Linked DNA regions of Oreochromis niloticus. The protein of the gene in region 2 purifies or fractionates together with the protein of the main gene of each other region. This does not show direct contact. Links are inferred from orthologs where the notes say so. Each region holds a gene or a part of one and is shown on either strand. Other genes may lie near its edges. The genes, in order: fgfr1op2, stk25b and sike1.

Region 1 (9,720 bases), on a different chromosome or scaffold from region 2:
GTCCATGTAGCCTGATAACTTTGGGTATGCAACCTCTACAGACATGCTTGTGTGCAGTGCTCCAAGAGATCAACAGCACATGTAGCACTGGCTGACAGTGATAATACTAGAAACTAATTTGCTGAAAAGTTCACTTTAACAGGAAAGGGAGTAACAGAGGAGTTCACCACAAAGAGGAAACAGTGGCAAAAAATAATCAACAATAAAAAAACCAGCATGAGAAACACAGACAGTGGATACGTAGAAAATTTTCAATACCGTGTTCCATTTCACTGCAAAGAAGTTATTTTTATATTACGACATATCTTTTCTGTATCAGGGTCGAAGTTAAAGGAGAAACTGAACAAATGCAAACAAGTCTAGCTCTCAGACTGTTCCACATAATTGTTATACTGCCCTCTGGTGACAGCACACAGCTATGACATGTACCAACACACAGCTATACTAGGCTGGGAATCACCAGACACCATTTGATACCACAATTTTACAATATATTACTGTCATTTTCAACATTATGGGATATGCTAAATATTGCAATAACATATAGTACAATTTATGTCCTCAAAGTTAAACTTTATCAGTATCTGTTTTATCCAATGAGATGACGTAATCTCACTGCAAAATGAGATTGTCAAGCATCCCCCATCACTGTTATTAAAAACTGCCATAAATGTTACTATAAGATGGAGTCATTATGACTGATATCAGTCTGAGGTTCGATGGCTCAAGTTGGCAATTACATGCAATCTGTTTCTGATAATGTTGAGCTGGTTACTGTGTTTGTTGGATTCCAAACATAATGAAGTTGCACAGTGACCTCTGGTGGAGAAGTTATGCAACGTCACCATCTTTGATGAGTGTTTCTCTCATCTCCTCTTGAACTTTAATTTTTTTTTATATTTATCCATCCATCTTCATCCGCTTTATCCGAGGCCGGGTCGCGGGGGCAGCAGCCTAAGCAGAGAAGCCCAGACCTCCCTCTCCCCAGCCACCTCCTCCAGCTTATCCGGGGGAATACCAAGGCGTTCCCAGGCCAGCCGAGAGATATAATCTCTCCAGCGTGTCCTGGGTCTGCCCCGGGGCCTCCTCCCGGTGGGACATGCCCGGAACACCTCACCCAGGAGGCGCCCAGGAGGCATCCTTGTCAGATGCCCGAACCACCTCAACTGGCTCCTTTCGATGTGGAGGAGCAGCGGCTCTACTCTGAGCCCCTCCCGGATGGCCGAACTTCTCACCCTATCTCTAAGGGAGAGGCCAGCCACCCTTCGGAGGAAGCTCATTTCTGCCGCTTGTATCCGCGATCTCGTTCTTTCGGTCACTACCCACAGCTCGTGGCCATAGGTGAGGGTAGGGACGTAGATCGACCGGTAAATTGAGAGCTTCGCTTTTACACTCAGCTCCCTCTTCACCACGACGGACCGGTGCAGCGTCCGCATCACTGCAGCCGCAGCACCAATCCGTCTGTCGATCTCCGGCTCCCTTCTCCCATCACTCGCGAACAAGACCCCGAGATACTTGAACTCCTCCACTTGGGGCAGGAACTCATCCCCGACCCGGAGTGGGCACTCCACCCTTTTCCGGCTGAGAACCATGGCCTCAGATTTGGAGGTGCTGATCCTCATTCCCGCTGCTTCACACTCGGCTGCGAACCGCTCCAGTGCGAGCTGGAGGCCTTCACCTGATGAAGCCAACAGAACCACATCATCCGCAAAAAGCAGAGATGAGATTCTGAGGCCACCGAAGTGAAAGCCCTCCGCCACTTGGCTGCGCCTAGAAATCCTGTCCATAAAAATTATGAACAGAACCGGTGACAAAGGGCAGCCCTGGCGGAGCCCATCACCCACCGGGAACAAGTCCGACTTATTGCCGGCAATGCGAACCAAACTCTTGCAACGGTTGTACAGGGATCGAATGGCCCGTAGCAATGGGCCAGACACCCCATACTCCCGCAACACCTCCCACAGGACACCCCGAGGGACACGGTCGAATGCCTTCTCCAAGTCCACAAAACACATGTAGACTGGTTGGGCAAACTCCCATGCACCCTCAAGTATCCTTGAGAGGATAAAGAGCTGGTCCAGTGTTCCGCGACCAGGACGAAAACCGCATTGTTCCTCCTGTATCCGAGGTTCGACTAACGGACGAACTCTCCTTTCCAGCACCCTGGCGTAGACTTTCCCAGGGAGGCTGAGGAGTGTGATCCCCCTGTAGTTGGAACACACCCTCCGGTCTCCCCTCTTAAAGATGGGGACCACCACCCCGGTCTGCCAGTCCAGGGGTACTGCCCCTGATCTCCACGCAACATTGCAGAGGCGTGTCAACCAGGACAGCCCTACAACATCCAGAGCCTTCAGGAACTCGGGGCGGACCTCATCAACACCAGGGGCTCTGCCACCAAGGAGTTGTTTAACTACCTCAGTGACCTCGCCCCCGGAAATTGGCGGGTCACTTCCCTCATCCCCAGACTCTGCTTCCTCCTCGGAAGACGTGTCAATGGGATTAAGGAGGTCCTCAAAGTATTCCTTCCACCGCCTGACAATTTTCTCAGTCGACGCCAGCAGCGCTCCGCCAGCACTATACACAGTGCAGGTAGAGCACCGCTTTCCCCTCCTGAGACGCCTGACGGTTTGCCAGAATCTCTTCGAGGCAGTCCGAAAGTCTTTTTCCATGGCCTCTCCGAACTCCTCCCACACCCGAGTTTTTGCTTCAGCCACTGCCCGAGCCGCATTCCGCTTGGCCTGTCGATACCTGTCGGCTGCCTCCGGAGTCCCACAGGCTAACCAAGCCCGATAGGACTCCTTCTTCAGCTTGGTGGCTCCCTTCACCTCTGGTGTCCACCATTTGGTTCGGGGATTACCACCACGGCAGGCACCAACTACCTTGCGGCCGCAGCTCAATGCAGCAGCTTCGGCGATGGAGACGCTGAACATGGTCCATTCGGACTCAATGTCCCCAGTCTCCCTCGGAATGCTGTTGAAGCTCTGCCGGAGGTGTGCGTTGAAGATCTCGCGGACTGGGGCCTCTGCTAGACGTTCCCAGCACACCCTCACTACGCGTTTAGGTGCACCGGGTCTGTCCAGCGTCCTCCCCCGCCACCTGATCCAACTCACCACCAGGTGGTGATCAGTTGACAGCTCAGCCCCTCTCTTTACCCGAGTGTCCAGAACATATGGTCGCAGGTCTGGTGATACGATTACAAAATCGATCATCGACCTGCGGCCTAGAGCATCCTGGTGCCACGTGCACTTATGGACACTCTTATGTTCGAACAAGGTGTTCGTTATGGCCAAACTGTGATTTGCACAGAAGTCCAATAACAAAACACCGCTCGGATTCAGATCAGGGAGGCCGTTCCTCCCAATCACGCCCCTCCAGGTCTCGCTGTTGTTACCCACGTGAGCATTGAAGTCTCCCAGCAGGACAACAGAGTCTCCCGGTGGGGCACCTTATATTTATCAGCTGATATAAAGTGACATAAAAACGATGGTTAAAAATAATGTCATAGTAAAAACACACAAACCTTCTGTTGGGTTTGCTGGTTGATCCTTGTTGATAGCTGTCTGGATGTTACTGAAGGATGCAGGAGGTGCACATTGTTGCAGAACGCCGATAGCATTACAAAACTGATCAGCAAGCTGGACACACAAAACAAAACCAGTAATAGGTTACGCTGTTATTTGAACAAGACACTAGCTGCTGCTGCTGATAACATAAACTTCAGACAAAAGAAATTTAAAGACATTTCTTTCATCAGTTTTACCAAAGTATGTTTTTTTTTTTAAAATTATTATTATTATAAAATATAGATATTTAGTTTACCAGTGTCAACCATAAGGCCCGGAGACCAGAATCCAATTTTACCCACTGTAAAAATGTGAAGGCATGCTTAAGTTTTGGACTTTTAACTGTATTTTCATAAGTTTTACAGCTTCTCCTGAAGATAAAACCTCCCCCAAATAATGAAATGAGAGAAAGTTCATTTTTTAAACTATCTACTATAGAAATCTGTGCTTTTTACAATGGGGTCACATTACAAAATATATTATTACAGGACAGTCTACACAACAAGCCAAAAGAACTTTTTCTGTTATTTTAGTAAGTAAGTAAAATGTATTTATATAGCGCTTTTTAAAACAGGAAGTTTTTTCAAAGTGCTTCACATGGGAATAAAAGCATATCAATCGATACAATAAAACACTATAAATAGGGTATAGTAGCATATCCAGTAAAACAGTTTGCTACACATGAATATTACCTAAATGCCTGTCTAAACAGATGTGTTTTGAGCTGTTAAAAGTAGCTACAGAGTTGATGGTGCGTAGCGGGTGAGGTAAACTGTTCCATAATATTAGAGCCAAGGCTTGAAAAGCGCAATCCCCCTTCGTTTTCAAACGGGTCCATGGAATGGTTAGAAGACCACTATCAGTGGATCTAAGGATCCGGTTTGGAGAAGCTTAGTGATATAAGTGGGGGCCTCACTTGTAGGCACATGAATGTAAAAGTGAGGATTTTAAACTGATATCTATACTCAACCGGAAGCCAGTGCAAGGATTTTAACACAGGGGTGATATGGGAGAATTTATGACTGTGGGATAAAAGCCTTGCTGCGGCATTTTGGACCACTTGGAGGCGATTTAGGGAAGCCTTAGACAGACAAGAAAAGAGTGCGTTACAGTAATCTAAACGAGAGGAGATGAAGGCATGGACAAGCATCTCCAATTTTACACATTTATTTCCTACAATTTAAGCCCAACAAGTCACACTGACAAACTTTTCTTTATTGTGTAGAAAAACTATATTACAATGTCTCAGGGATTAAATGTGTAGTTAAAGTTCTGACTGTAAGTGACAGAAAGGGTAGTTTCACTGATTGGCCCAAAGTGCATAGTGTGTTGTATGTAGGCCACCAAGCAAAAGGAGAATGACATCCCTGGTCTAGAACCACCCTTAAATAATTATTATTATTATGTTTGTTTGTTTGTTTTGGAAAATGACAAATAGGTGCAGCACTTTATTGAAATGGGAAAAAATATGTGGAAATACAGTATGTAAGGCAAAAACAGACTTTGCAATATTCTAGCAAGCTGGTACAACATGAAGGATCAAAATCTGACCTACTTTTCTCCATTCGTAATTCCTTTAAGTTCAACTTCTGTTCAAGACCACTGAAATAAATAAGAAAATTTGGTCCCTTGCAAGCCAAATATAGAGAAATTACTTTTGCATGTTAAATACTTCTGAATATCAAATGTTGACCCTCTGGGGTTACTTTCCCACGTTAGTTTAGTATTTTTCTTTTCCAAATATATTTATTTTGTATTATTTTGTTCAAGGAAGCTAGCCAAAACGACGTTTTAACACTGTAACACTTCGTTGTTTAAAATAACTGAGCTGGTTTGGTCGTTTCGTAACACAGGCCTTTAACTATACTTGCTATAATGGTTAGCTACCCCGTGTTGTTCACATGTTACTAAACTACTCGAGCCACTGGTTTGCGTTAGCTACCAACTCTAATCGACATGACGATGCATTTTATATATTTTTTTACACCTCCTTCTACCAAAGAACGTTTAAGATATTCAACATTTGCCTTACCGAATTGACTGCGTCTTGAAGTTGTGTTAGCCGGTCCGCCATATTGTCTGTTTCTGACGTAACTGTCGCGAGAACATAAAACATCTCGCGGTATATTCGGTATTTTGGGAACCTTGGTTGGCAAAGGTTGGGTTACTTACTTTTACCGTCTCACAACTGGGTTCACAGCAAACTTGAAACGCGTTAAAAATCGATATTTTCATATCAGCGGAGGTTATCTTCTATTTTAACGAGGAACGGATCTTTATTAGACCCTGTTTGTGGCTGCTTTATGAGGACTAATGTTAGCCTTTAGCTAATATTAGCTACTAAACATCAACAGGAAGTAGCAGCGGAGTTAACGCAATTCCAATGTCTTGTACTGTGGCTTCCCCAGGTATGATCATTTTTGTTTCTTTAATTCATTATCTAAAATTGCATGGCAACACCGATTTGATATACGCACCCGTTTATAATGCGAGCATGTAAGTGGATTTGCATGAAAGCTTAACTCTGATTAGTAAGTTGGCTAATAAGTGAGCCCAGCTTGTGTGTGTATGTATGTATGTATGTATGTGTTGTTAAAATATATTTTACGTTGTCAGCTTACTGAATTTGGAAAACTGAGAAACTAATTCCCTTCACGTTTTATATAGCTGAGACGAATGTGCTTCAGAAGTAATTATGTAAAGTGAATCTGACGCCTAAAACACGCAAGGCTTGCTCGTAATAAGCGAATTAGCTGACACAGCAGCTGTAATGACGAGTAGGTCGAGGAGGAGAAAGCCTAGACACAATGTCAATGAATGATTTTTAGCTGGTATTTTGAAGTCAGAGCTGACGCTTCAGTTGAGGTTACTTCTTGGTTTTCAGATATTTTTAAAATTATATAATACCAATATCGTGGTGTTGTTGTTTGATCAAGCAAAATAGATCTAGATCAAGCATTTCTGATTTAAGTCGTGTTTAAAACATATTAAAGTGATTATCATATAGAAAAAGACAACTTTTATAGAAAAAGGCTGCTGTAACATATTGCTGCTTAACAGCAGCAATAGCTTGCAAAAAGCCACTGCATCATGGTATATACATAGGTTTTTTTAGGACTGTTCAGAGTTCCCAGAAAACTTTCACTTGACTGCAGCTGCTGTATGTACAGATACAAAGTCAGCCTACCTTTAAATAAAGAAGCTATTTTAATAAGATATAATTCAATAGTGTCAGTCATCACTATAATGAATAGCTTGCTAATGGATAATTGCTTTAACCAAATGTAATACTTAAGGGAAGAAAAGAAGGATTGACGAGGTGGATGACTACTATGTTTGCAAGCAACCTTGTCCTAGCTCCTCTTAAGAATCACTTGTATTTCCTCAGGCATGAACTGTACATTAGAGAAGGTCCTGGCAGATGCCAAATCATTAGTGGAAAGGCTTCGCAACCATGACAACGCTGCTGAGATGTTAATCGAACAGACGACACATCTCAACAAGCGAGTAGAGGCCATGAAACAGGTAGGGTGTCACATGAACTTGGGGAAATGTGAGGCCTAAAGCATTTGATGTAGAATCCATGAAGTTTATTTCAAAAGCTGGAATAACACTTTTTAAAAAGTATTTTTTAATTGTTATGATGATCTATCATTTTATATTTTAGACTGAAGGTTTTTCTGCTTGTTCTTTTTATTGATAGTACCAGGAGGAGATAGACGCCCTGAACGAGGTTGCACGGCATCGGCCTCGTTCCAGTCTAGTCCTGGGAATCCAGCAGGAAAACCGTCAAATTAGGGAGCTCCAGCAGGAAAACAAAGGTAGGCAGTTTCCTTTAATGTCAACTCTTCTGTTGAGAGATCGGATGGCCGGTGCATTTTTAGTTTTGCTTTGATTTGTGGAATATAAAGCCGGAATTTGATCCTTCCCGTAAATCAAACTTGTTCATACTTCATGTAGAGCTGCGTACATCATTGGAAGAACATCAGTCTGCCTTAGAGCTCATCATGACCAAATACAGGGAGCAGGTGTTCAGACTTCTCATGGCCAGTAAGAGGGACGACCCCGCCATCGTTACCCAGCTGAAGGAGCAGCACACTACGGTCAGTATCTGGTGCAAGTACTTTTAATGTATTATTTTGCTTTTTTTTTTAACTTTTCTTGTGCATTAAAAAAAATCTTTGCAGGAAATGCAAGCACACATAGACAAGATCAACGAAATGGCCTCCGTGATGAGGAAAGCCATAGAGGTGGATGAGGAGCGAATATGTGAAGATGAGGAGAGGATTAAACAGCTAGAGGTAAAAGCCGAGCAGCATTACTTCCAATTGTTCCAAAGCTTTCAGACCAGGGGAGGGTACAAAAAATCCACAGAAGTTACAAATCAACCCAAACAAATGTCTGTTCATGTGACACCGAGGATCACAAGTGTCAAAGAAATTGACACTTGACACAAAGGCCAATAAAAGTCATCAGTGGAAACCTAAATGATCAAGGCTCTGAGGGGTGGAGTCAAAACTGGATCACAAGTCATAGTTAAAAATGTTCATGTGCTCCGTTATTTATTTATTTATTTATTTTAACAGTATATTCAGTGTGAGTTTGGAGTTTAAAAATGAACTAAAGCTTCATGTTGAGTTGAGATGTCAAAGCAGATCTTAACAGGGCATTTAAATTAAAAATTAGCCTTTTTATTTACATTTCCTCCAAGCTTTATTTTTTTCCTTTGACCTACTTTGTCATTTAGACATCCTACCTCTCTATTTTCATTAGGTTAAACAGATATATTTGTAGGCTTTTTGACCTTTACCTCTACTACTTGAAATTATCCATAAATCCCATAAAAGTTAGATTTATGTTACTATTTAGCGAACTAGCATTGCTAGGTGGCTTTAGCTTTTGACAGTAAGAACCATTAGTAGTGTTTCCACATGTTAACCACCAGATGTCAACAGTGAGCTTTTGAACTCTTAACTGTTTCCAAAGAGTCGTCCTACTGTAACTGTTTGCTTTATATTTTTTGATTTAAAATAGTCCCCCGATCCTTGAAATGCCCAGGCAGAAACTCTGATTACTACTGTGATACTTTTGGCCCTTCATATTAACATGCTTGGAAACACAAAAGAAAAATCAAATTTCCACTCTGTAACATGTACTGTAAGTGATTAAAACCTCATAAACCCATATTTTATTCACAGTAGTGAATAAGTAGCATTTTAAGAAAAACAGTAGCTCATTTGGAACTTAATACTAGCAATAAAAAAAAAAAAATAAAAAAAAAAAAGTTGGGATGGGGTAAACAAAAAGGAATATTTTCGGTTAACTGGCATAAAGATTAATACTCAACATGATTGGGTATAAAAAGGCATTTTAAAGAGGCAGAGTTTCTCAGAAGTAAAGATGTGCTGAGGTTCATCAATCTGCAAAAAATTGCATCTGCAACTTGTGGAACAATTTCAGAATAACATTTGTCAACATATAATTCTGAAGACTTTGAATATCTAATTATCTTCAGCTTGATAAATTCAAAGGATTCTGAGAATTTGGAGAAATCTCTGTGCTCAATAAAATTTGGGTTTATGGGATTTGCAAATCATTCTGTTTTTGTTTGCATTAAACACAGCATTTACATTGTCTCCGTGTATTTCAGCTGGAGAACAATGGACTCCGAGAGCTGCTGGGAATCAGTCGGGAAGCTTTTCTGGTTCTGAAGAGAGACGACCAATCAGACAGCACGTCGCTGTCGCCACTGCTCACTAGTGCCGACGTGAGCTTACGAAAAAGTTAAAGCCCAGGACGGCCCACCAAACCCCCAGCCCCTTACTGCTGCCGCTGTAGGGTACAGAGTCTACAGCCTGTTACCACGTGACCGCTTCAGATGTTGAGTCTCCTGGTGCATTTAGAACATCGCTGCTCCAGACCTGCATCCCTGTCTGATGATTCGGGCAACAAGCAGCGAGCCACCCCCCCTCCCTTTGTTCTTTTTCTTGTTTCTTGGTACTGCTGTAACATTTTGTTCATTTTGGCAGCATGCACGAGCCCGCAGTGCCTGCAACATTTTAAGGTGTAAATGAGTAAACGAAGGGCTTGAGTTCAAATAAATCTGTAAACAAGAAAATTTGTTTGTAGAGTTTGTGTCAACTTCCAAATGTCACAC
Region 2 (10,591 bases):
ACGTGTTTTGGAGTGTATATTAGTGAGTCACTTACCAAAAGGTGATAACATAAGTTGGGTTGTTTAATATAATTTGAAAGGGAATTATTTCATTTATACAGTGCATTTCATTTGGTTAAGGAATTGGAATATCATTTGAGTTTAAAAAAGGGATGTGTTGTACAGTATTTGTCTCTGCCCTTACGTTCAGTAAACGTTTCGTTTGTGTTAAAGAGTTGTGTGGGGTCGTTTCTTTACTACCGGTTAAGTTTAACTTGTGTGTGGCAGAAGTATCGGTTTTTGTACTCGGTATCGGCAAGTACTCAGATCCAAGTATCGGTATCGGATCGGTTTGAAAAAATTGGTATCGTTGCATCCCTAGTGCCTATGGAACTGGCAGCTTGCACATGTGGAAAGACACCATTACAGCTAAAAGGTATATACAGGTATTTGGGCAACATGTGCTCCCATCCAGATAATGTCTTTTTCAGAGAAGGCCTTGTGTACTTCAGCAAGATGATGCTAAACCAGGGTTGAACTGACTGGAAACATTTGGAGCATCATGAAATGAAAAATATGACACAGGAGACCTGGGATTGCTGAGCAACTAGAATCATCTATCAGACAAGAGTGGGACAACTTTCCTCTCCCAAAAGTGCAGTAACTGCTATCCTCAATCACCAGAAATTTACATGCTGTTGTTAAGAGAAGAGGGGATGCTACACAGTGATAAACATGACCCTGTCTCAACTGTTTTTTTTAAATGTGTTGCTGCCATCAAATTCAAAATGAACTAATTGTGGCAGAGGTGTGGTCCCCCTGGCTCAGCTGCAGGGAAGGGATGGTGCAGTGAGCTCAAGGGGGAGCGCAAGAGAGGCTGGAGGGACAGGTGAAGATTATTAATTTAATGAGGTCTTCTCTTCTTTATAGTGACGTCAGAGACCAGAATGAGAGAGACGCGTGTGAGAGGTCAGGTGAAAAGCTGAACGTGCTGGGACGTTGGCGCCAAAGCTGATTGCTTCTGCGTGTAGCACAAATAAAAATTATAAAGAGCTATCAGAACGCTGTGTGGGGTCTGAATTATTCACACTAATGTTTTTTCTATAATGGTACATATTCTAAGTTTCAACATTTAAACACACATGTTTGAGATTTTCAAGTCATTGCATTCTATTTATTTATTTATTTATTTGTTTATAATCCATGATTTCTTTCATGTGAACTAAAGTCACCAAACATGTAGGTTACACATCAAACAAAGGGGGACGTACACAAGTCAGGACTGTGACATATGCAAGTTTTAAATGTCACTTCTTTTAATAAGAAACATTAACACATCTTTCTTTATGCAAAGATTTGTAACTAATTCAGCCAAAAAAGAAATTAATAAAGAAAAAACACATACCTGCGATGGCTGTCATCAAGGACTTCAAGGACCTGCTGGTAAGCACGGCGTGTCGTTGACTGGATGTACGACAGGAGCCCAGCAGCTGTAAACAGGTTGATGTTTACATCCTCGGGGGAACAGAGGGGAGGACACAAACGGACTGGGGGGGCAGAAGGGGAAGGGGTTACACTGGCAGGGAGATAAGTGGGGAGAAACGTTAAAACAAAGAAGACATGTTTTATAAATCAACCAAGAGTGAAAGAAAGCATTGCATCGGAAAGGCAGCGGTGAAGAAGCAGCGTTTCAAACGTGGCTATGCTCATACCTTACATCGCCTCTGCTGATCTGACTGCTGTGACGGCCGGATACGTTCTCACTCGCGCTGCGCTCCCTTCGAGGCCGACCATGAAAGTTGGCCTGTTGTTAAACACAAAATTGAAATAACATCAAGCTCGGTTTGCAGCAACACGTGTTTTCTATATTGATGAATCCCACTTAGTTCAGTCAAACTGACTGGAAAAAGAAATCAGTGATTTTGGCCACTTGATTGAAGTTTTTCCTACAGAAGAATGTGCGATTATTAATTACTTTTCACCATTTACAAATTGATTATTTTTCAATTGTGTGTTAAGAACCACAAACCATACTCCACAGAGAGATCAGAATGGGAAGATGTGCAGCATTGCACAAAGAGACTTCTTAAAATTAAAAACATAAATAATCATGTTCAGTTTTCATTGCGTCTCATAAATCCCACAACTCCAGGCAGCTTTTGTAAGAAAGGATCAATATGTTGGGATAAAAAAAGCAACACCTTTAAGACCACCATCAAGGAATATCTGAAATGGTAATCCTAATAAAGTAAAAATAATGCTGTGTATACTAGTTGCTGCTCACTTATTCATAAGGAGTTGCCACAGCAGGTAGGTCTGCGTATCTGATTTATCCTGGTGCCTAAACCCTTGAGACTCTGTTGTCTACTCACAGGTTCAAACGGGGTAATTTATGGTACTGCAATCGTGTCCTTTTTGCATTTAGCATTTCTCTAAAGTTGGGATTTGCGGGACTCTTTGACTAAACAACTAATCCTCACTATTATCACAAATCATTATCAGACGTACTAGTAGTATAATCTAAATTGTTTTAAATTTTGATTGAAGCCAAATGCCGGTAAATTGCTATGCAGCCACCTGCCACCAGAGGGAGCATCATTGTTGAGAAAAGCCGTAAATCTGTTCATCATGGCCTGATCTCTTTGTTTACACTGTTACTGTTCTTTTAAAGGCAAAAGATACAAGCGGTGGAAATGTGCCCTCTCCAAAAGGTCAGTGGGCACTTCCTTAGCAATAGAGTGAGGAGTTCAGTCATTTGGGAGGGGCTCAGAGTAGAGCCACTGCTCCTTCACATCAAAAGGATCCAGCTGAGGATGATGCCTCCTGGGTAAGGTGCTCTGTTGGTCATGTCCTACTGGGAGGAGGCCACTGGGCAGAACCAGGACCTGCTGTACAGACTATATTTAATCACCTGACCTGAGAACAACTGGACGTTTCCCTGGATAAACTGGAGGAGAGAGGGAGGTTTAGGCTTCCCTGCTTCGGCTGCTGGCCTCGCAACCCTACTTCAGATAAGCGGGGGAAAAGAAAATGGCTGGATTATTTGTTGTTTTGTTATTTTAGATTTTAACTTTTACTGAAGTGGTTGTCATGAATTTTTGAACAGCGTGCATCATTCATAATGCTCGACAAAATGCACCACATTTTTCAGTTCAACTCCTTGGTTTTTCTGTTGTTAACTTGTCACATTTAATAATATGTGAACTTGCTTTTGTAGTAACACATTTATATACTATATTTAACATCAGTTTAAGTGTTTTTCCTTCTTCATTGTCTGGTGTGTAACATGCAATGTTGACAATGCACAATGCCCGTACAATTCAGCACCGTTATTCATAAATCAAGAATATGATTTATGATTTAAAATTCTTTTGTTTAGAGAGTTATAGACCTTAAACAGTTCTAAAATATAACTTGATATCTGAGTGTTTCTTAGTTTTATATGAGTCAGTTAGTCTAATTTTTTTCCCTTGTTTATTCAACTGAGAAATTAGTTGCCAGGAACATCCCTACCCTAGAAACAATGTACAAACATGTGTGCAATCTTCCAAAATCCCCACTGCATTACTCAAATGCTGATTGACTGACAAGTGGGCCAGAACAGGCAAGGGAGTGGCAATGGAGTTCACCAGGAATGGGAGGATAGTAAGAGGGGAAAAAAAAAAAAAAAAAAAAAAAAATCACAGATCAAAAGATAGCTCATGAGAAGTACAGACAGTGGGTGCAGTGAATATGTTACATTGTTTAACACTCACTTCAGCTCTTTGTAGATTATAACTTCACTCTACTCTGCAGCTGGCTGACATACCAGTAACAGCACAAGCAAAAGTACCCCACAGACCGGTTGTACCACATACTTTGTACAGTGCCTCTATCGACAACAGACACTCTCTGCAAGTAGACAGGCCAACGGAGTGCCAGCATACTCCCAATGCACTAACACTGCTGAACCATAATTTCAGGATAAGGCAAATGTAGTATACCACCACACTATGGATCCACTTAAAGTTTTGAATATAATGAAAGAAGAAAATTCAATATTCTGAGAAGGAAGTTGAAATTACTCTGAAAGAAACCATACCGCTTGGCTGGGATTGCGCTGTGAGTTGACAGTTTGGTCGGTTTCAAGAGAGTCCAGAGGCTGCTCGGTAAGGGTGAGGACACGTGGAGGGGCCTTCATGTTCAGGAGGTCCGCAGGAGGGATGGACTGAATCAGATCCAAGTCTCTTGGACATGCAAATCGAGGATCCTCGTCATCACCTACAGAAAAAAAGGGGTCATGAAATTTTTATACAGCATATGGGCCCATATGTCATGGTTTCCACTTTCAGCTGTTAACAGTTGTTTCCCTTAATGTACTACTTTTTTTTTCCTCACCAAATACTTGATATACATGATTTAAACATAATACCTGAAACATGACTGCCAACTGTCATCCTCACCTGCAACGACGATCCTCTCAGGAACCTGCATCAGAGCTGTATGAGTGGGCAAGGGCTGCTGAAGTGGCATGGACCCTGTTTGGCTCTCTGGGGCCACTTTGAGGGTCTCTGGGATTCGCATGCGCTGGCTGATGCCCTCTGTATACTCCAGCTCAAAATGGATGCGATTCATCTCAGCCACCTCTACAGAGGGGGTAGTGAAAGTTGCCCCACTCATCCAGCTGATAACCCACAAAATGGGAAACAAATGAAACTCACATACAGATATTAACCAAACAAAGTGAGGGTGTGAGTGTGACTGTCTCTAAGAGTTCAGAAATATAAGCTCAACTTAATGCCCCGTTTTAAATAAGACATTTTTCATATCTTGGCTGATTTTTTATGACATGCCAATTTACAGTAAAACACATGCTGCAGTTAACCCTGAATTTAGCCAATTAGCTCAGTAGCAAATGGTGCTACCTAAACTTTAAACACGATCATTAGCCCGTGCAAAAGGCATCTGCTCCAGTGTAAGGTAGTGAGTTTAGGTTCAAGCTAATGAGTACAGTACAAGAAATAGCATTTCATGTTACATAACAGCGACATGAGGTGAAGCTGTTGCTGGCAAGCCGCTTCAATGTCACTGAGTGAAAATCCACGCAAGACGCCATGTCTAGCTTGTATGTTAGCTATCTAGCTTGTCGCTATGCTTGACAATCGTTTAACAGACGATGCTATCCCTTTTAGCTAATTAAACAGTGCGCTGTAAGCCGCTGACTGTCTGCACTAACATGCTGGTAAACCAGAGGTCTGTCCTGTCAATACTCACCGTTATGGTTTTACCACCAGGGTTTAAACTGACATGCGCCAACACGCTGTTCGTGCTGTCATACAAACAACATCAGGGACTCCACAAACCACCCACCGAGACGGACTCAGCGAAAGCTCTCTACGCTTCTAGCTAGTGTGGGTGTAGCTGTTAATACTACCCCGCGTGACCGCCGGGGCGGTTACTATGAAGTGCACCGCCAGCCGCAAGAGTTGGTGAAACGCAATGGACACTTTAAATTAGCAGATTAACGAGCTTTATTTACGTAAGTTGGTTGTAGTGTATTTTATTTTTATAGTGACAGAAGTTAATTTGTCTGAACTGCAAAAATAAGATGTTTTTCAAATGAAAGTAGCCAACGTCACGGGAAAAAAGAAGGCTGACCACATCCCAACAAAGTGTGGGGGGGTAAAAAAATCTGTTTGTGTGGGGCACACTAGGGCCGATTAAGATGCGGGACATTGCTTCAGTGTCTGGGTTAAAATGCACCAACCGGCCAGTCGTTGCTGGGGTGTTTTGGTAGCTAGATGGTTTACTTCGTGTGCAGGTTTAAAGTCTGATGGAAAGGAAAATTGCATTTTAATGAAGCTGGACCTTTTGTATTGTAGATATCAGCAGTTTGTGGATGACGTCTTTAGGTATAATGTCTATGTATGACAGCTTGTGCACAAAGTTTTGATTAATAAATAAAAGCAAAATAAAATGTAAACACTCAAAAGATGTTTGAATGTCTTGTTAATATGTGTGTTGACATCCTCTTTGTCCACACTATCCACTGTGCTCAAATTTATACTATTATAGCTTCATCACAGAGACAAACACTAAGATTTACTCCCACATAACACTTTGGGTAAATCCAACCACCAGTTGTCTGCATCTGCTTAATTTGATTTGCCTTAATTTGAATTCCCAGTTCCTCTTCTATCAATCATACGGAGAAAACACACACAATCATTTCCACAAAATGTAATTTAAACTTATTTCAGCTTTAAATTGAATTGAACTTGTTCATTTTCTATTTTTGTATGTAATGAATCCTCAGTGGTGTTCTAATGCTGTCTGGCAGCATGTATGGTATTATGTGATGGTAGTGATGTATATATAGTTAGATCTGTTAGAACTGTTTTCAACGAGATCACGTGTTTTTGTCATTTAAAATTGTGAATGTAGTTTTATTTTATTTTATTTTTTCCGTGTACCATTTTCAGTACAGGAAAAACTTGAAAGGTTTGAAGAAACATGTCTCTAAAGCATGTAGAAATACAACTCCCACAATTCAACGAATTAAAAAAAAAACTTCGCGCATGCGTTCTCGATCTGGGCCATTATTTTGTCCTCCTCAAGCTTCAATTGAACAACGGGCTAAGCGCTTCTTGAAATGAATTAATTATTAATTCACGGAAAGAGCTATTTTTCCCCTCTGTTTCGGACCACCGATACTCATGGAGTCTCTCGGTCAGTAGCTCGGCTGCTCAGTCCTCCGTTTTACCCGGAGGCCGAAAACAGTGCGCGGAGTGACAGCCCCGTTAAAGCCAGGAGACTGGGTGTTTATCTAGTTGGCTAGCCAGCCTAGCTAGCTTCCTAGACAGCTACGAGGGGAGGAAAAACCCGAAAGGACAATTTATTGACTATTGGAAGACAGGACTGTGGCCGTCCCTCTCCCGTCCAACCAGCCGAGGGGATGGCACACCTTCGAGACATGCAGAACCAGGTAGAGAAATGATCTTTTCTCCAACTGTCACCTCCCTGCTTCTTATCCAAGACAAGCCGAACCCCCGATGCTTCTCAGGCTTTCCATGAATAACCTGGGTGGTGGGCTAGGCCATAAAAGCAAGTGTTAGTATCCACAGATGTGAATTTATGTATATATAATGTTCTTGCCGGTGGCGCAGTCAGGTGTACAACTGACAAAGCCATCAACAAATGACAAATATGTAATAATAATCTCTGATCTTGTATGAGTGTGTAATAACATTTTATTTTTTCAGAGTTGGGCTTTTAGAGTTGAGTCTTAATTACTAAGATACTCAATATTTTTTAAACTTAGTGACTTCTTTGAAGGCGTCTTTGTTCGCAAATCATTGCTCATTTCCTGCTGTTATGGAAAGACAAAACCACTGAACTTTCAGGAGTCACACTTCTTAAATTACATCCTGGCACAAAGCTCGATCTAGAGTCTAGGTAATTATAAAGGGATGTGACTGAATAGATGGGCACTGGCATAGATAAGAAGGTTAATTATAAATCATATTTTATATTTGGGCAGTGCATGCAAACACTATAATATGGAGATAAGGGACAACTGTGAACATCTCTTCTGTGTTGAGACTCGCCCACTCATAAACACACACATTAAACTACGGGGGGCTATCACCGTGGTATATACTCTGTACTTAAATCCTTTTGCTCTCACTGGGCCAGAATACTCGGTTGGACCCTGAGGAGTACTTCACCAAGCAGGAGCGGATCGGCAAGGGTTCGTTTGGAGAGGTCTACAAAGGCATCAACAACCGCACAAAGGAGGTGGTGGCCATTAAAATTATAGACCTGGAGGAGGCAGAGGATGAGATAGAAGACATTCAGCAGGAGATCACGGTGCTGAGCCAGTGCGACAGTCCTTACGTTACAAAGTATTATGGCTCATATCTGAAGGTGAGATAATGTAAATACTGAAGTGACACTTGCAGAGATGATTAAAGATGCAAACACATGCAGTGGTTTGTTCCTTCAATTGTTTCCTCCTGCCATAGGGAACAAAGCTGTGGATTATCATGGAGTATTTAGGTGGAGGATCTGCTCTGGATCTAGTAAGTAGATTTCTATTTTTATGCAGCTTACAAAGTTTTAGACAACTCCTCCAATAGTGCACTTTTCATACTCGAGAAGGAAAACTCATCCTTTTGTCGCACTGTCACCATCCTAGCTGCGTCCAGGGCCTCTTGAAGAAACTTACATTGCTACTATACTGAGGGAAATACTAAAGGGGCTGGAGTATCTGCACTCTGAAAGGAAGATTCACAGAGATATCAAAGGTAATGAGCACTCACTTCAATCTTTACGGTGTTCGGTCCTTTTAAATCAAACTGGTTCATTTTATCCCTTGGTGAAGTTTGTTTGTGCAGATGTGAACCGAGTTATTGCACTCGGGCACAGACCAAAACAGCCGCACATAGACCCTTTGGAAGAGGTTGTCTTGGTGCAGTTCTAAATGAACTCAAGAATAGTTTATTTATGATGTGAATATGTTCCTGGTAGTCGACCCAAACAAACTACCAGGTTACAAGTTTGAGATTTTAAAAAAAAACTTCCTGTAGGTACGTATGCTGTGTAGTCAGGGATGCAGCAAAGTACTAGAGTTGTGCAAAGGTCTGTATGGGCTAGCAGCTATCCGTGAAATGAAAGTAAATTTTACGTATTCTCCAATAGTCTAGAACACAGCACCTTCTTTCTATATTTACACATCTGTCCAGTGAGCGGACTGAACATCCTGATGTGTTTTGTTTTTTTTTCTCTTTGTGAAAAGATACCAAATCATAGGGAAGAACTCCAAGTTTACAAACTCACCAACTATACCAGAGAAAACAAACTATAGGTGTGAACAAACCCAAAGAGTCTCATAGCTGTCAGCTAACACAGTTGTCAAGCTCTACGCTGGTACAAACTCGGGTATAATTCAAAGCTGGTTTATAGCGTACGCTCTTGTGAGTACAAGACTCAATGCTGTGATCCAACGTTTTATGTCAACAACTGAACGCTGTGATAAGAGAGCTGCTGCACAGCCAGCCTTAACCAGATGCTGCAGAGAAGAAGTGCACACACTGAAATATGCCAACAAGCTGTGTACATTTTTAACACCATCTGTGAGCTCGAAATCTCACAACATGCTGCGTGTGCGAATTGTATACACTTTTACATATTCCTGTGTGTGGAGCTTTTTCTGCTCTCTTCTTTCCTTGTTATGAAAGAATGTAACACTTTGTAATTAAGTAATCGCACAAATAAGGAGTTTAAAACTTGGGTGTATTACTTGGTGGGGTGGATTTATTCTCCGTATTATTTGTGTTCTTGTGCTGATTTTCTCCTTTTATCTACAGTTCCTTGTGAAATTGAATGCAGCACTCCAGTCTCCAAAATCTAAAATTAATTATTAATTCATTTTAGATTTCAAAATTGAGAGTTGGCCTGAATAAGCTGTAACAACATTGTTACTCATTATCTCAGATGTTCTGGCCTCATCTTATTTTTAGCACGTTATATTAACCAGACTGCTGTAACAGATACAAAAAGCAGACCCAGATACTTTAGGTTGTATTTTAACTGTCTGTCTTTTCTGCCTTTCTCCCAGCTGCCAATGTGCTCTTGTCAGAGCAGGGTGATGTGAAGCTAGCAGATTTTGGGGTGGCGGGACAGCTGACAGACACTCAGATCAAGAGGAACACATTTGTCGGCACGCCTTTCTGGATGGCCCCAGAGGTCATTAAGCAGTCAGCCTACGACTTTAAGGTGAGCAAACGTTTGTGAACAAGCTGTGTCTACACTGAGAGCATGAAGAGAGATCATTTTGATGTTAACCAACAGGAACTGAATTTTGATGCCTCAAACAACTCTTTATGTCTTTACCCTCCCAGGCTGATATCTGGTCTCTGGGCATCACCGCCATTGAGTTGGCCAAAGGGGAACCCCCCAACTCTGATCTACACCCCATGAGAGTCCTCTTCCTAATCCCCAAAAACACTCCACCCACATTGGAAGGCCCTTACAGCAAACCCTTTAAAGAATTTGTAGAGGCTTGTCTAAATAAAGACCCCCGTTTTGTGAGTAAAACACCAACATACATCAGCATCATACATCTGGTAATAACTGCTGCACTGAGACAAATTGAACATGAATTCTTTATCCTACCAAGTATTTTGGATTAGCATGTCCGGTCCTTAATAGGAATTAGAGATTGTTCTGGTTGTTTCTCAAATATTCCAACATGATCCAACGTGTGCTCTTGAAAGGCGCCAAAACCTTTCTGAGTAATTTGACACTGAAGCTTGCTTTAGCCTGTGTTTGTAGACAACAGCACTCCAGCTTCAAAAAACTATGGGCTGTGTGATATTACCCTTGGTTGTACGATTTTATGCTCCTCATGTTTTTATTCACTACAATATAAAGCACCTTGAGGCAACAGTTGTTGTGATTTGACGCTGTATAAATGGAATTGAATCGAACTGAATTTCTTATCTGCACAGAGGCCAACAGCCAAAGAGCTTCTGAAACACAAGTTTATCACACGTTACACCAAGAAGACAGCTTATTTGACAGAGCTGATTGACCGCTACCGCCGCTGGAAATCAGAGGGACACGGGGAGGA
Region 3 (10,115 bases), on a different chromosome or scaffold from region 2:
TCACGACGAGCTCCTTATGACACAACACAAACGTACATGAATCCCCAAAGAGAATTAAGGGCTTTGGTCCAGTGCTGATGGATGAGTACTGTAAATACCAGCTACTTAAGATCAATTTTCAGTTTTCCTGAGGAACAAGTATCCACCTTTTCATGTGGTGCTGGACTTTGTGTGTAGTTATGTCGAAGTGCTAATATTGTCCATCTTGAGTCACTGCCCTCCCTTTTACGAATCCGAATCTTAATCGGGGAGGGTACAATGTTAAAAAACAAAACAAAAAAACAAACAAACAAACAAAAAAAAAACATTTAAAAAAATTAAAAAAAAAGTGCTCGTTTACATCAAATTTCGGTCGTCTAGTTGGCAGAACACCCCTCACCCTGCAAGAAAATAACTGAGTAGAGGCTAGTCTTGGGAGCCTGAAAAGATGAAAGAAGTTATGCCATTCACAGCAAAGATGCGGGGCAAGGTGGGTGGATGGGTGCTCGATGGGGTGGGGCACGTAGAAAGGTGGGAAGGTGAAACTTACGGATCGGCCATATGGCGACAGGCTGAGTCCGACAGGGGAGGTGCTGCTCAGGTCAGCGCTAACAAACGCGGTGGGTGGCGACGCAGGCAAGGTAAACTCAACAAAGCCTTTCCAGGGGCTGCCCATATTTTCCCATAAACTTGAACAAAACTTGCTTGAGCACTTGCTGAACTTTGATATACGTTTTTGTTTTTGCTTAGTGTTAAATACTATTCTTATGCAACCACCCAATGATACACCGCTGGATGTCTGCAAGGGTGAAGAGAGGAACAAACATAATAGGTAAGGCAGGTCAGCCAGTGTGCCAAGTGTCACAAACAAAAAGGAAAATAGCTGCAGGCTTTAATCCCAAGAGAGGATACAAAAGGGGGGAAAGGGGAAAAAAAAAAAAAAAAAAAAAAAAGTAGGGGGGGTATGGCCTGAGAACGACAGAATAGGAAGAGTGTGGATCAGGTAAGGGAAGGCAAGTAAATCATTTTCAAACAAAACTGAATGACTAGTTCAAGTATTTGGAGGTGGTGGTGGCTCAGTGTGCAGTGGTGCTGGCTTCTTTCACGTTTTCAGAATAGTTATCTTTAACAAAAGGACAATGTAGAGGTCACTAAGATCAAATCAAAATTTACATTTCAAATCAAAATTTTACACCAAGTATCACTTCCTGCACTCACTCCACCAAAAGGATGTGATGTCACATGGAGAAAGCAATAAGTATGCAAGATTCAAGTCTAACCAAGCACTGCAGTAGCTTGGAACTGGCTGCTGCAAACAACAGCTTAAAATATTGGCCTACAAGTAGAGAAATTTAAATGAGGTCCAATAAAAATAAATAATAAGTCCAACTTTGAAAAACAGAACGCATTTGTGTTTAGTGACTGAGGGGAAAAAAAGAAAGAAAAGAAATATAAATAAAACATCATCCTCGGCATACCACTGCACTGTTTTGGGGCAGTAAGTGTTATACAATCTGTTTTTAAAGCATGTGTGAATCATGTAGTGCATCTATCAAATGCAGATTCTGAATCAGATACCAGTTTTATAAAAATATTAAAATCCAAAAGAGGGTACTGATAATGCAGAGAGGTAATGATGAGCAAAACGTGTGGCAAAACCAGAAGTACATTTACAGCCATCATAAACACACTATGAAGGGCTTCAACTGACTCGAGACCTACCTTTATTGGTCGCCTTGTGTCTTTATCTCTCAGGATTTTGATGAACTAGCAGTTTTTGTGGACCTCTTCACGCACACAGTTGAACACGCACACTTGTTACAGTTTCTGGCACAAGTTCTAGATCGTTGCATAAAGTAAAAAATAAAAAAGGGGGGGTGGAGATAGAAATCTAGAGCAAAAATAAAACAAAAGGCAAAGGCAGGTGCAAAAAACACTGCTCAGGAAAAAGGAGGGGAAAAAAAGAGGGGGTAAGTTGGGGAAGGGAGCTATGGGAGTGGGGAAAAGGAAAAAAACAAAAACAAAACAAAAAACCAACAACAACAACTAGCAGATAGCAGCCCACTCCACACCCCGGTGGTGAGTCGGCGGTGTAGTGAGGATGAGGAGGGCTAGGAGCAGCGTTGGGACGTGTGCTTTGTCAAAGCTGTTGAGTAGGCACAAACTTCTGGTTTCAGATCAACTATGGTCTTCTCAGAATATGCTTGGGCGCAAGTTTGCTTCTCTTCCACTTCGCAGTTGGGATGATGTGCGTATTCTTTGGTCGTTTCAGGATTTGGTTACTTCTTGCGTTTAAATCCTTGAAGTGATCCTTTTTCACCAACGCTTCTTCAGTGTTGACTTTGTTTTGGGAGGTTTGTCTTCAGTTTCTTTGATTTGATCTGAACTTGAAGCAGTTGCGGATGGTACAAAAATTCAGTTCGGTTTCACTTCATACTGTTTGAAGGGGGATGAAGAAAAAAAAGAAGATCTGGTTAGATGAAAACTTATCACCAACTCCACTGATCTAAATTTAGGTTAAATACAAAATGGCCCAAGGGCTCCATGAGTCTGGAGTGAGGGAGAAAAATTAGACTGTCAGCTAATATGACTATTCTATCACACGAAAACAAGTAAAAACCCCAAGCACTGGCAGCCTGAGGTTTTTTGGGAACATTTGATTCTTTAGTCACACTCAAGTACAAAAATAAGCTTTCCTCAAATGCCTCTAGATACAATGCTAGGCAGCTGACAAGTACTGTGGATCAACAAGTCCTTGTGCATACCTTCAGTTCAGGCTATGTTATTTATGGCAACATTTCAGACTAAGGCCCTCTGTTTCATCATTCAGCCCCCCAGTTGTTCTGCATGCACACAACCTTACACATTTTTAGAGGGGCTAATCTGGCAATCAAACAAAGCATTGTAACGTGTGTATGACCTCTCCCCCCCCAAACATTTTTTTTCCAGAAACTCCAAGTAACATACAGCACACCAGAGCAGGATGTTGTTGACCTAAATACCCTGCTCTGAAAACAAGATAGCTGAGCCAACCAAGGACACATGATATCTATTCTGCTGTGACTATGTCGCAATGTCTCCCTTCTTACATCCCACTAGGTTAGAATATGAAGTTGTTAAAAGGCTCAAATGTGATTGCTACAAGGTTGACTACGTAAATGTATTAAAGGTTATGAGCCAGGAACCGAAGACAGCTTCTGTGGAATCCACTTTCGCCGGATTTTTTCTGCTTTTTATTTCGCAGGAAATGAGAAAAAAAAAAATCCACTCACGACACAACTAGCAGCGATTGGCCGTTTTAGCCATGGTTTTTTTTTGTTTGTTTGTTTGTTTATTTGTTGTAAAATTGGGACCAAACTACAGTTTGAGCTATTTGTTATTTAATAAACATGAGAGGGAAAGATACCTCTTATGATTGGACATTTATTAAACGACAGTCTTTTCTCTGGGCAAACAAAACAACCGCCCCGACAGGAACCACCATGTGACTTCTCAGCAATCCGCTATCCTCAGCTGGAACAGCCAACATGGCCTGATCCAACACGTTGCGGTATGCGACGCCATCGCGAACGGCACGTCTAACCAGTCGATGTCAAAACATACAATAAACTATAGTTCGTTAAAACCTCGTTACTTTAGTTCTTTTTTGCTCATTAAGCAAAGTAACCCGCACAATCACATTTAAGGATGTCTTATTGACCTTGTGTGGACAAACAAAACCTGACAGATTAACATTTCGCCGATGCTAATCGTCGTAAACAGCTACTACTCCGCTGTCTTTAGCAACACTTAAAGAAATTCTTCATCATTAACTTAACTAAAACGCATTCAGTTCTTTTGTAATTACCGGATGACTTAAATCCTGTGCAGCTTGGAGTCCTTGAACAGAAAGTTTGCTAATGGTAATTAAGCAACGGTTCAACGTTGTACACTGTACATAGAGATAGCATTTCGACTTCTCTTTCACATTAATGTTTAATGTGGTTTCGGACATCAGTCAAAATATATAGAATTTCTATGTATTAATTTAAATGGGACTGATTATAAAGAGATTTTTTTTTAAACTAGCAATCATATTATAAGGGAGACGTTTTTTAGAACTGGATCGTATCACACGCCAACCTGCAACACGGGCTATTTAGGCTAAACGGACAATAGAGTTAAGAACAGACAATGCCAAAAGTGACTGCCGACCAGGACAGTTCTTTAAAAAGTACTTATAATTATGTACATTTTAAATTTCTTGCCAGTCAAGAACAACGTTAAATATAAACACTCAGTTTATTCATTTTTTTTACGTCGATAACGCAATAATAACATTATCAGCGTTAACGGCACGAGGACGGAACAACAAAGAAGCTAGATACAAGCCTCGTGCTTAATTCTATTTAAATGCCATCTTTGTATCTAAAGTATACCATATCCATTTTACACACGTGCTTTTTCTTTACCAGACTCTAATACGTCTTAGAAAAAACATCACGCGCCTGTTTATTTATACCTTCGACAGTATAACTAGGCCATTGGCAATGCTAAGTAGCTAGTAGCGACTACGGTTAGCTAGCATGCCGTTGTACTCCTCGGCCCTTGTGTGATTTATGTGGAGCTGTAACAAGGCAGCCCCCACCCAGGCCCGAACTGTGCGTACGACTAAGCGCTGACTCACCAATTCACCTCTAAGTACTCACTGAACAAAAAAGAAAACTATTATTGATATATTACCAGTACACGCTTAAATTGTTCTGCTAAAAGGGATAAAATATTAAAAACTCACCCCAACAGCTTTCAGCACTGTCACCAGCGCCGCTAGAAGCAGCACGGCACATTGCGTAGAGATAGGGAGGCGGCTACCGCGATATTTGACGATACTAGGTAGACCAAAGATCCTAAAGCGAAGAGTGGCTACGAGAGGCGCTGATAAGAAACCGCCTATGTGCCGCAAAGGGACATGGGAGGCATTTGCGTTATAGTAACGTTAACATTTTATCTACCTCGCTGTCTAGACTGGAAAAAAGATATGTACGAGTAATCTAGTCGAGTTCAATAAATAATAAATCCATTAATTATTTGATTAATGAGTAAATAATAACTATCATGCCATTTAGTAGATAACTAAACTTAATAGGTGTCGCCATAACTAAGTTTTCTCCCCATACGGGAGGGTTTCTGAGACTACACGTTGCACAAAAACCCAACATAGGAAAATGTAACATAATGCTTCAGCTCAACTCAGCCCTTCACTCACTTTGAAATTACCCGATACTAATATTTTTTCAGCACTGTAAGTGTTTTACGTTACATTTTTACTTGAAATGCTGATAACTTTTAAAATTATGTTGTTGTTGTTGTTCATTTGTTTAACATACAACTGTTGAACAGTGAAGAAACAATATCCTTTTTTCTTTTCCTTTTTTTTAATGAGACGCTGTTGCGTTATGTAAAGATATTTTAAAGACCAATAGGCTTGATAGGTTTAGCCATTAACCCCGCTTTTGGTTGTGTGCCAAACTTCTACACCGCACTCTACCCCAGTAGGTGGCGACTCAACGTTAGTTTGACAATTCGCCAAAAGTAGGAGGAGAAGAAGAAGAAGAAGACGACGACGACGAAGAAGAAGAAGAAGAAGAAGGAAGTGTCGCTAACACTTTAGTTTTACACGGAAACGTCAGTTTCTGAAGCAGTAATATTCTAGTAATGTAGTAATATTTTGATCTGGGTGTCTGGTACTTGCACTGTCTGCCGACACAACATTAACGTTAAGTAGCGAAACAGTAAGGATATTTATGTTTCTATAATGGCACCGAGCTGCCTCGGCTAAGGTTATATAGCCCAGGTAAGCAACGGCTGTGAGTTGTTTTCGCTCTAGCTAGTTTTGTAGTAGCTTTTTTTACCTAACATAAAAAAGAGCTGTCACTTTCCAGTAAATGGCCTGCACTTTAGAAAAAGTGCTGGCCGATACTCGGACCCTTCTCGAGAGGCTAAAAGAGCACGACACAGCCGCCGAGGGACTGATAGAGCAGTCCGAGGCCCTAAATCAGAGAGTGCAGGGCATGAGAGAGGTGGGAAATGCTCTGCCAGACAAGGTAAACTCGAGCAGATAGCTCACGCTTATGAAAAGCTGCACTACTGCTTGGTATACACATTGAACTAGTTAAACAGTGACCTGTACTACAAAGCGAGTTTCCCTCGTATCTAGAATATGCTTTCGTGATATGCGTTCGCTAAAGTCTTCTTTATCTGTTTCTTCTCTGCTCTTTTCTCAGCACACAGATGACAGTTCAGAGATACAGGAGCTCACGAAATACAAACCTCATGTCCTTCTGACTCAGGAAAACACTCAAATCAAGGAACTGCAGCGGGAGAATAAAGGTAAAAAAAAGGTTCTGCTGACTGACTGGCTGGTTTTATATACTAGTATTAACACTCTTTATGCCTTTGTAGAACTATGGCTGTCTCTTGAAGAACACCAGTACGCATTGGAGTTGATCATGTGTCGGTATCGCAAGCATGTGCTCCAGTTGATGATGGCAAAGAAGGAGCTGGACACCAAACCTGTGCTCAGCCTCCATGAGGACCATGCCAAAGTACATCAACTCTGCATTTCTTTAATTTGCTCACACGTTTAATGGGCTATGATTCCAAATACATAGACACACAAATTAAAAAATAAAAAAATAAAAACAACAAACTTGATTTCTGACTCTTTTCCAGGAAGTGCAGAGCCAAGTGGAGCGGATATGCGAGATGGGCCAGGTGATGAGAAGAGCAGTGCAGGTGGATGATAAGCACTATTGCTGTGTTCGAGAGAGGCTTGCTCAGCTAGAGGTGAGAAATGCAGTTATACATGGACACAATGACACCTTTCCTCATGAGGTCTGTGGAAAAATATGTGATTTTACCACAGACCTCAGACATCAGCTTCTGTGTCAAAATGACGGAACGATAATAGATGATCATAACTGCAAATGAGAGCTGAGTTGTCAGCTAGCATCAAGTTTTTAGTGGGATGGTTAGGTTTAGTGCATCAGGTCAAGGAGCATGTTGTTTTGTTTGGGGTTTTATTAGGTTTGTTTTTTTATTACAGTCAAATAGGTTGTACAAGGGTTATAAAAGGGCCTTTTAAACCAGTCGGTTATATTTCTTACTGTAGCATCTTTGTGATAACCTTTTGTGAGCTCTCTAAATATGCTACAACTGTAAAGTTTGTTGAAAAGGTACATTTTCCCAAACAGTAACAAACGTGTATTTAAGAATATAAATGAATAAAAGCATTCAGAACAATAGCTATCTTCCCAGGAGTGGCTGTTCTAGCAAATTCAGCCACAGACTGTGTAATGCTCATGGAAATGGCTAAAAATCCAGGAGCTACAGCTCAGACTCTACAGGGCTACGTTAGCAAGTTAAATGAAAGGGGGGGAAAGCCTCTTCCCTTTAAAAAGAACAAGGCAGCATTGTTAGTTTTGCATAACTGCAAGGCATAAAGTTTGTCCTTTGGACAGACCAGACCAGTGTGGAAATGTTTGGCTGTAATACACAGCAGCTCATTCAGTGAAAACTGTCAAACACACTGGTGGAGCTGTGATAATTTAGGGCTTGTTTTGCACCTGAGTACCGTGAACTCTTTGAATCATCCAAAAATCCCTCTGCGTACCAAAGTATCCTAGAGTCAAATGTGAGGGAAGTCTGTCTGACGGCTAAAGCTTGGTTGAAACTGACTCATGAAGCAGGACAATGATCCCAAACACAGCAGCAAATCTGCAGCACAATGGCTGAAAAAGGAAATCACAGCTTTGTAATATTTCAGTCAAGGGCCAAACCTCAACTCAGCTGGAACACTCAGGTGGGATCGTAACGAATAATCGTGATCCTCAATGTGCTGAAGCAACATTTGATCAGACTTCCTCCATAATGATGGATGAATAAAGTTGTACACGGGTTTTTACACGATGCTTCTTTTTATTAAATAAATAATGACATGTTTTATTGTTCATCTGGGGCTGTATTTAAATAATTTTTGTACCTGCTACGGAACTGATGATTTTTTTTTTTCTTATTAAGTCTTATTGATAAAACCTGAGAAATAAAAGAGGGTGTACTTTCTTTTTCACGTGTCTGTATTTGCTTTGGTTATCTGCTTCACCCAACATTGCCAAAGTGCAAAAAATTCTATCACAAATAAACAGAAACACTATTTAAAAGAGAAGATGTGATGCATCCATCACAATTTTCATTCAAAACCTGTATGCACGGGGAAGCACATGCATGTTATAAGGAAGAGATATTTAACTATAAAAGTTATGTTTGAACATTTTTTTTCTACCTTCAGATTGAGAACAAGGAGCTGCGTGATCTCCTGGAAATCAGCAAGAGCTCTGTGAAGACAACTAGCCAGTCACTAGCAGCAGAAGAAGGAGAAGAGTCTCCTCTGCCGGGGTCCACCGAGTGACCTGAAGTACAGCTGGGATAAAGTTCCACAGAACCAGGAGAGGGGGCTGATTGTGTCTTCACCTGTGTTCACCACCACATTATAGATATTGTTATTTTAATTTTATTTTTTTACATGTAACGAAATGCAGTCCAGCATGAGGTTATCACTCACAATACACATGTACTGCAGCAAAGGCAGTAAAAGCAAAGGGGATTTCTTTAGTTTTTAGCCAAAGACACTTTTATTCTCCAAGGATACAGTTTCTACCTCTTTGGTGCCCCTTTGCTGTTCACACACACAAACTTTTACAGTGAGTAAAGCACCCAAAACCAGCCCAACCTTTGAGTTCACTTGAAATCTATTAACAAGCCAACTTGTAGTCCACACCATATAAGAAGCTGTGCTTGCTGCCAATAAGATAACTTTTGGCTGTTTTAAACTTTGCCTGCTGAGGAGTAGCAGTGGAACCTTTGTTGTTGTGATGTTTTGGGTTTGATATGGTTGATTGTCTCAATATAAAACATGGTTTTCATGTTTTGGTACCTTAATTCTGTGTGTTAGACACAAGTTGTACAGTTTGCCGATTCAGAGTATTGCGTACCAGCTAATGGCACATCTTTGTTAGTGAGAACACTTTCAAACATGCCAGGGTTTTTTTGTGTAATGGATACCATGTTTGTACACTGTATGTTGTCAGAAACTGTATTTTGTCGTCTTAGGAAATCATGTTAGATGACTTCACGACAGTGTACTGATTTGTGTCAAATTAAACTCAGAAAGTTTGCTATACATAAAAGCGTGCCTGGTTTTGTTTTCTTGTTTCCAAACTTTTTTACTGTACAGCTTGCTGGATGTATGGACGAAAGTGACTTGTTTGGGATAATCCTTTCTTTACCGCAAGCTGGCGCCATTCAGTTGTTGGGGTATAACCTATCGCGAGGTTTGCAAGAGTTTCAATGCTGCTTTCAAAGAAAAGACGTTACGGGATTTTCTTTAGTTTTTTAAATGTTTCCTCCTTAACATAAGTTCTGTCAATACACCAAGGCGGTAAAGGGTGAATGTTTAAACTAATTACTTGTAAAATCATAAAAATTTTCAGTGCAGTCTTTTATTCTTCTGCGTTTAAATCGTAACCCTAGGGATATATTTCCGACAACACGTGAAAGCATCACGCAGAGGTGCATTTGCTACTTCTAGCCTGTCACAAGCTAATGTTCAGTATGTCTGAGAAGGAGCTGGGGAAAAAGTGGGACCGATGCTTAGCAGACGGTGCCATTAAATTAGGTAAATATGCTTCGGTTTCTCAATCGTAACGATATTGTCCTGTATCAAAACAAGGGTCACTTAAGAAGCAGTTTATATTGAAGTCCACAGCTGTCATTGACTGGGCGAGAGGCTAACTAGCTAGCCATAAGGGCTTGTAAAGGACAACTGAATGACCAGTCATTTTTTCATGCTTTGTTTATTTTAAGTACATACAGTTACGATTGGGTATACTCTGTCATTTTATTAAAGTCTCAAGATATTTGGCCTTTGATGTTCTCGCTCATTTTTTATGCGTTTCACTTAGCCCAGTGCAAACGCTGCTAAGAAAATGTCAACCTAATTCTTAATCGCTGATTAATACAGACACGTCTTCTAGTACGCAACTTTAAGAATTTTACAAGATATTTCTGTCTTAATTCGGCATATATATAAAACAGAACCA

The links.
Region 1: the proteins of stk25b (region 2) and fgfr1op2 purify together in Homo sapiens (affinity purification with mass spectrometry; 5 studies listed by BioGRID and IntAct, with this or other methods). This does not show direct contact. The link is inferred for Oreochromis niloticus from reciprocal best matches to the Homo sapiens genes STK25 and FGFR1OP2.
Region 3: the proteins of stk25b (region 2) and sike1 purify together in Homo sapiens (affinity purification with mass spectrometry; 4 studies listed by BioGRID and IntAct, with this or other methods). This does not show direct contact. The link is inferred for Oreochromis niloticus from reciprocal best matches to the Homo sapiens genes STK25 and SIKE1.

Annotation. Positions count from the first base shown.
Region 1 is NC_031981.2:34,716,622-34,726,341, reverse strand, and holds fgfr1op2 (FGFR1 oncogene partner 2 homolog), read left to right. Parts: upstream 1-5,832; 5' UTR 5,833-5,946; coding exon 5,947-5,971; intron 5,972-6,951; coding exon 6,952-7,088; intron 7,089-7,266; coding exon 7,267-7,384; intron 7,385-7,523; coding exon 7,524-7,666; intron 7,667-7,750; coding exon 7,751-7,864; intron 7,865-9,213; coding exon 9,214-9,351; 3' UTR 9,352-9,681; downstream 9,682-9,720. Other genes in the region: med21 (mediator of RNA polymerase II transcription subunit 21), read right to left, coding at 3,521-3,635, 5,596-5,679. UniProt on the Homo sapiens protein: May be involved in wound healing pathway.
Region 2 is NC_031982.2:10,565,735-10,576,325, forward strand, and holds the start of stk25b (serine/threonine-protein kinase 25), read left to right. Parts: upstream 1-6,535; 5' UTR 6,536-6,913; coding exon 6,914-6,943; intron 6,944-7,653; coding exon 7,654-7,884; intron 7,885-7,982; coding exon 7,983-8,039; intron 8,040-8,155; coding exon 8,156-8,264; intron 8,265-9,577; coding exon 9,578-9,735; intron 9,736-9,860; coding exon 9,861-10,046; intron 10,047-10,469; coding exon 10,470-10,591. Other genes in the region: mitochondrial fission factor homolog A, read right to left, coding at 1,385-1,555, 1,692-1,783, 4,061-4,239, 4,422-4,638. UniProt on the Homo sapiens protein: Oxidant stress-activated serine/threonine kinase that may play a role in the response to environmental stress.
Region 3 is NC_031984.2:27,969,662-27,979,776, reverse strand, and holds sike1 (suppressor of IKBKE 1), read left to right. Parts: upstream 1-5,563; 5' UTR 5,564-5,812; intron 5,813-5,884; exon of another isoform or gene 5,885-5,900; 5' UTR 5,901-5,903; coding exon 5,904-6,062; intron 6,063-6,242; coding exon 6,243-6,348; intron 6,349-6,420; coding exon 6,421-6,563; intron 6,564-6,690; coding exon 6,691-6,804; intron 6,805-8,305; coding exon 8,306-8,425; 3' UTR 8,426-9,194; downstream 9,195-10,115.